Linked DNA regions of Arabidopsis thaliana. The protein of the gene in region 1 interacts with the protein of each later gene in a pairwise test. Each region holds a gene or a part of one and is shown in the gene's direction. Other genes may lie near its edges.

Region 1 (3,432 bases):
GCCAAACCCAAAACAACTGATCCTGAAACCATTCACAGAAACAAATTAATAGATATTTATAAGATACAAATTTAAATATTTTTCATATAGTTTTTGTACCTCAACGTTGATCTTAAGGTTTGCCATAGTGGCTTCAGTTCTTGCGTTAACAAACCTCCATTGAAGTAATCTGTTTTGAAAAATCCTAAACCGGTGATAATCCTCCTCTTGTACCGGAGATACTTTCTTCTGCGCCATGAAGTACTTCAAAACTCCTGCCACCGCTCCACCGCCACCGCTTCTTATCTTGGCCTTGCTTACGGGTGACTCAGGCGGCGTCATGCACATTGAAGTCGTCGGAGCTGAGCTGGACAGAGGCGTCTTCATAGTCGAAAGTCTTCCAGGAGACAACGCCCACGCCGATGGTGAGCTGGCTCCCGGCTTTACCCCTCTCGATGAAGCGTTACTACGAGGACTACCACGCGTACGTTGCTCCAAGTACCGAGCAAACGACTCTCTGCTTCTACCGTTGTTTATCTCTTGAGATCTTGATGCGCTGTTTCTCGCCGGGATTATGTTCTCGCCGGATTTAGAGTCGGATGATCCGATGGGTCTGGAGGATCTTGTTGTGGACTGTGATCTGGTTATCATCACTCGTTTGCTTGAATTGGAAGGCGAAGAGGAAGAAGATGAAGAAGTAGAAGACGATAACGAGGCGTTTAAGGACACTGGGAGAGAGATTGAAGAGCTTATAGTCCGGCTCCGGTTATTATTGGGCGATGGAGGACGGAGTCTCCGACCGGTGGTTGCCATTTTCTTCTTTAATATATGACGACGGTTAACTATATGACTATATCATACAAGACTTATATTCGGTTTCGTTTCTCGACTCACTTGCCCCTGTCCTTAAGACTCTTATAGTAAAGCTGGAATTATATGGTTCAAGGAATCGTCTAGTCTATATACACTGGTTTGAACAATTGTGATATATAATATAGTTAGGGGTATATTATATTTAATCTGTTAGATAACGGTTGGGGTACTTGAAGATCTGTAGGAGTTGACAGCACGTAGAGGCAGAGGTAAGAACACTTCTGCATGTAGTGTGTCTACATAATAAAATATAGAGTGTATTTTTTACACACACCAAAAAGAGAGATTATAATTAATGTATTATGTCAAAGCATATATGAAGGTCAGCTTAGCTAGAGACACGTCTTTTGTTTATCTCTCGACTAAACAACATGGCGTTTTAATAAAATCAAAACTTAAAAGGTCCAATTCAGAACGGCCCCATAGTATATAGTCTACGTTGAATAAATAAACCTCAAGATAGCGTCAAACTCTTTAGTCTTTACCCAAAAATATTTTTTTTTAAATAACGTCAAAACTCTAAGTCTTGACCTCAACACCAATATATATTTGCCTTCTCCAATATCTGATTTTTTTAATTGTTTATCCGAGTCTTCTTGGTCTTTTCGAATGTTTGCCCGAACCAGACCTTCCCACGTTCGGTGGTTGGTGGCCGCCTCGGCCTTTGGTTGATTTCTGTCCACATTTTGGTCCTTTTCATTCATGTACCATGTTCTAGGGTCATTTGACTTGTTGACCATAAATCTACTAAAACAGGCCTAATACCGATGGGCCGTAGCCCGTTAATAAACAAGACAATTTATATTTGTTTCACTTAGCTTGGGAGCCACGGATCTCTAGAAACATCCAGAGAAATATCAATCTCCCCACTTCTCCAGAACATTCACTCACTGACAATATCCCACCTTCAACACTTAACTCCTGTATATAGTCCTCCCCTGTCTCCAGTTTCGTCGCACACAGTTCTCAGATAAATACTAAACTCACTGTTAAAACTTTCTCAACAAAGCTTCCTGTTTCTCTACAAATGGCATCTGCTCTCGCTCTTAAGAGACTCCTATCATCCTCCATCGCTCCACGTTCCCGTAGTGTTCTTCGTCCAGCTGTTTCCTCTCGCCTCTTCAACACCAACGCCGTTAGGAGCTACGACGACGACGGCGAAAATGGAGACGGCGTTGATTTATATCGCCGCTCTGTTCCTCGCCGCCGTGGTGATTTCTTCTCAGGTAACAAACCAATTGTTTCGCTTTTCCTCCAGATCTATGTCTCTCTGTTGTTAACGTAGCGAAAATCTAGTAAGAAAACAGGTATTAGCTTACACTGAGCTCAAAATCTTGACATGATTGATTGTGTCTTTGTGTAGATGTGTTTGATCCGTTTTCGCCGACGAGGAGCGTTAGTCAAGTGCTGAATCTGATGGACCAGTTCATGGAGAATCCTCTGTTATCAGCTACTCGTGGCATGGGAGCTTCAGGAGCTCGTCGTGGTTGGGATATAAAAGAGAAAGACGATGCTCTGTACCTGAGAATCGACATGCCTGGGCTGAGCAGAGAGGATGTGAAGCTGGCTTTGGAGCAGGACACTCTGGTGATTAGAGGAGAAGGAAAAAACGAGGAAGATGGTGGCGAGGAAGGAGAGAGCGGTAATCGGAGATTCACAAGCAGGATTGGATTACCGGATAAGATTTACAAGATCGATGAGATTAAGGCGGAGATGAAGAACGGAGTGTTGAAAGTTGTGATCCCGAAGATGAAAGAACAAGAGAGAAATGATGTTCGTCAGATCGAGATCAACTAAAAACGTCGACGTTTTTTTCTGTTCTAGTTTTGTTGATAGGTCTTTGAATAAGAAGTGTGTGTAGTTTGGCACGGTCGATGTTGAGTCATGTAGTCTCTAAAGACTAAAAGGTTATATGTTTCTTTCTTGAGACGGTGGTTTTTTGTCTTGCTTAAACCAAAATTTGCATTCCAAATCAAAGCACTAATTAAATAAGTTCCTAATCGTGTATTCTTTTAGCTAACTCGGTCGGTTTACATGCCTTTGTGGTTATGAGACTGGAGCTTATGGAACGTATTTGGGTTTAAAATTTTCTGTAGACTAGGAACTAGGAAGACTTTAAGACGAATTCTGAGGCTGCGTAAGTTGTCGACGGACTGGTCTATTAATAACGCGTAAAAGTGTTAGGCCCGTTCGAGTAGAATAGCGCGTTGGACAGCCCAACTTGAATGAATCGATCGACTTTTATTAAAAAAACAAAAGTAGGGCAAAAAACAAAAAACAGAACCTCGACATTAACCTAAACCTAAGAGCAAAGCAAATCGACGGCGACGGGAAAATAGAACCGCAGATCTCTGTCTCCTCTCTCTCTCGTAACTGTTTGTTCGATGGCACCGAAGAAGGCGGAGGAAGTGGTCGAAAGCCCTCCTGTTTCCAGTGAAGAAGAAGAATCTGGCTCATCTGGAGAAGAATCTGAATCTTCTGCTGAAGTTCCGAAGAAAGTCGAGTCTTCGCAAAAGCCTGAATCTGACTCTGAAGGCGAATCTGAATCGGAGTCCAGTTCTGGGCCCGAGCCCGAGTCCG
Region 2 (3,757 bases), on another chromosome or scaffold:
TGCAATTTTTTCCTTCTTCCACTTATATATTGTTTCCTGCTTGTTTAGTTTTATAGATTTATGTATCATCCATGTAAGCTTATATCACTCTCTCTTTACTTACAATTATGTTTTGGACTGCAGGATACTTATGTGGTGTGTGTTCTGTTCAAGAAAGATGGTCCTGGACCTAGAAATGGAGCTCAATATGGAGCTCCGTTTAAGGAAGAGGACTGGAGTGATGAGGAAGTACGTACTGATGTTCCTTCTACTAGTAATCCCACAAACCTTCTTGAGCCTAGCAAAGAAACCACTCTGGCTTTGACTGCCCCAGATGACTCCAATAAGGATTGTTTTGGTGGCATGATATCAGAGTCATGTGTCTCGGATTTCCTACCAGCTACAACTAATACCACCAGCGAGCTTCCACATCCAAGTGATGCAGCTACCACTCCTATGTCTACTGCACCTCTGGCAGAGACCGTTCAGACCCCCAACAATGATGACTTATATTCAATGTTGGATCTATTTGATGATGACGAAGAGTTCTTAGGGTTCAACAATAATGAGGTAGTTTTTTTTTGCATTCTTCTTCTTTGGCTTAGTATAGTGATAACAAGCCGGTGTCACTGCATGTTCTTAAGCTAGCAAGGCTACTTTAAAGCTGTTAAGTGTTTTAGTGGCATTGGAACGTAGTAGTTACCCATTAGACAAAGCTTCTTTGCTATATCTTCGATCTTAGTATCCAACATCAATATGTGCTCTTTTGTATCTGCTTGTTCTCCAACATCAATATGTGCTCTTTTGTATCTGCAAAATACATTCTCATATTTAATCAATCTACAGGTAAGATATGATCCCGGTGTCTCAGCTCCAGTTTGCTTAGAAGAAGAAGGCATTTTCAACGGACTACCAGAGTTGAGCAGCATGCCAAGGACGGCCTCTTACGACCTAGTTGAAAACTCGGAGTTATACCTAGAGCTACAAGACCTCACTGCTCCATTAAATCCCCAAACTGGGCTACAAGACCTCACTGCTCCATTTAATCCTCAAACTGGGCTACAAGACCTCACTGCTCCATTTAATCATCAAACTGGGCTACAAGACCACACTGCTCCATTTAATCCTCAAACTGGGCTACAAGACCACACTGCTCCATTTAATCATCAAACTGGGCTACAAGACCTCACTGCTCCATTTAATCCTCAAACTGGGCTACAAGACCTCACTGCTCCATTTAATCCTCAAACTGGGCTACATGACCTCACTTCTCCATTTAATCCTCAAACTGGGCTACAAGACCTCACTGCTCCATTAAATCCTCAAACTGGGAATCGCAATGACCCGAGAAGCTCCTCCTTTCTGTATAATCAAGGCCATTTTGACTTCTCTGGTGGTAATGATGATGATCCTTATGGCTTTTCTGCTTCCATGAGACATAGACCAAAAATGTAAAAAAAGAAGAAGAGAAGAGAAGCAGGATTTACAAATCCAACAGATGCAAATCAGACCGAATAGAAGGAGGAGCAAGCACCTTTGTTTCTTGTCTTTGAATTATGATTTTTATTAGTCAAAATCTTTTTAATGTGTCGAAACTTCCCTATCAACATTCTCTGTTTCATCCTTAGAATCTCGTATTTCTTCAGAGTATTCTCAACATTTATTCTTGTTTCTATTTTGCTATGGATTATTGTATATATACTTCTTCTGTCTAAATCATATCATTAATACTAAAAGGAATTTTAATGATGAATACTGAAAAACACAAAAACTAATCGGGAGGAACAAAAGTTCCAAGTAAAAACGAAGAATGAAAAAAGTAAATAAGAAGAAGAAAGTATCGTACCAGATTTAGGACCATAACAGATGATGTAGATGTAGGGCTTAAATGGGCTTCGTTTCGAATCCTATTTCGTTGGCCCAATATTTTAGCTTTCCCACCGCATCATTATTCATCATCTCGTGTATTAAAAAGCCGATTTGATCTCTTTCCACTAAAAACCTTGCTGACAAAGAATTCAATTTTGATTGTCGTCGATCGTACGGTATCTTGGGGGATTGATGGAGAACACAGACGTCGTCTCGGGTCTGCATAATTTCTTGAGTAAACCCTCCGCCAAAGATTTCATCAAATCAATCAAAAGGTTATCTCTCTCTCTCTCTCTCTCTCGCTTCTCTTCTTCGCTTTTTGTATACTTTAGGTTTATTTACTCTCTAGTTATGATTACATGTGTGCAAGATAAGATATCTTGCTGATTTCACATTGCTCTCTAGTAGTTATGAATAGTTTTTTTCGTTTTTGCGACAATGTTATGATATCGATGATTTGCTATAAACTTAAGCAGATTTTTGTTGTGATGGAAACATCACATGCCACTGGTTTTTTGAGTTGTGAACGTTTTTTGATGTTTTGCAGTTTCATTGTTTCGATCTTGAACACTGCACCAGACCCTGAAAAAGATTGTGATGCAGTTCAGGACTTCTTTTACAAGATGGAGTCTGCTTTCAGGGCTCATCCACTTTGGTCTGGTTGTTCCGATGATGAGTTAGACAATGCGGGAGATGTGAGTTATTCTTCTTCCCTTTTTCCTGCTTATCTCTCTCATGATTTATCTATAATAATCTTTCTTGACTTAATTTATGTATACACAGGGCCTGGAGAAGTATGTCATGACAAAGTTATTTCCCCGGGTTTTTGCATCAAACACCGAGGATGTTATATCCGATGAGAAACTCTTTCAGAAGATTTCCTTGGTTCAACAGTTCATATCTCCTGAAAACTTGGATATACAACCAACTTTTCAAAACCAAACATCTTGGCTTGTAAGTCACATCTATCTCTCCATAGTGTTGCTTGTTTTCTTATAATGGTTCTTACTTGTGATGTTTTTTTTTCTTATTTTATGGCAGCTAGCTCAAAAAGAGCTCCAGAAGATAAATATGTACAATGCTCCTCGTGATAAGCTTATGTGTATCCTTAGGTGCTGCAAAGTCATTAATAACTTACTTCTAAATGCTTCAATTGCTTCAAACCAGAATGAACCTGGAGCTGACCAATTTCTTCCTGTTCTCATATATGTTACCATTAAGGTATGTTGTCAAGGATTGTACAATTTAAGCAAAAGCTATTTCTGAATATGTCTCATGTTTACTTCATATTAACTCTTATCCTTGGATTCTGAAAATGACATTATTTGCTTTGTTTCTCCAGGCTAACCCTCCCCAGTTTCACTCAAACTTGTTGTATATACAAAGATATAGGCGTCAATCTAAACTGGTTGGCGAAGCTGGCTACTTATTCACCAACATACTCTCTGCAGAGTCATTCATCTCAAATATTGATGCAAAATCCCTCTCCATGGATGAAGCTGACTTTGAAACTAAAATGAAATCTGCACATGCACGTCTTTCTGGTCCGGGAAGCCAGTCTTATCAAACGGATCACGGTGCTGCATTACCCACTGCTCATAATACTAAGAGGGAAAACATGCTTCTGCATACAAAATCAACTGATAGTTTCTCTGGTACCAATGAAACACTGAGTGAAACACCAATAAAGAAAGCTGACCCCATTACCGATTTGGAAAATAAGGGCGCTGCTACGCTTTTGAATGATAGAAGTGAGGCAACCAAAATATTTCAAGAATATCCTTACATGTTTGCCAGTGTTGGTGATTTAAAGATAGGAGATGTTGAAGACTTGCTTAATAATTATAAACAGCTAGTTTTCAAATATGTTTGCCTTTCCAAAGGCTTGGGTGATGCAACATCTTTAACT

What was found.
Region 2: the proteins of HSP23.6-MITO (region 1) and VPS9B interact in a two-hybrid assay, tested with the Arabidopsis thaliana proteins (one large-scale study listed by BioGRID).

The regions. Positions count from the first base shown.
Region 1 is NC_003075.7:12,915,210-12,918,641, forward strand, and holds HSP23.6-MITO (mitochondrion-localized small heat shock protein 23.6), read left to right. Parts: upstream 1-1,716; 5' UTR 1,717-1,879; coding exon 1,880-2,078; intron 2,079-2,215; coding exon 2,216-2,649; 3' UTR 2,650-2,901; downstream 2,902-3,432. Other genes in the region: QWRF7 (QWRF motif protein (DUF566)), read right to left, coding at 1-22, 100-792; AT4G25210 (DNA-binding storekeeper protein-related transcriptional regulator), read left to right, coding at 3,237-3,432.
Region 2 is NC_003076.8:2,890,300-2,894,056, reverse strand, and holds the start of VPS9B (vacuolar protein sorting-associated 9A-like protein), read left to right. Parts: upstream 1-1,962; 5' UTR 1,963-2,040; coding exon 2,041-2,123; intron 2,124-2,395; coding exon 2,396-2,543; intron 2,544-2,631; coding exon 2,632-2,802; intron 2,803-2,889; coding exon 2,890-3,069; intron 3,070-3,190; coding exon 3,191-3,757. Other genes in the region: NAC082 (NAC domain containing protein 82), read left to right, coding at 124-549, 826-1,434.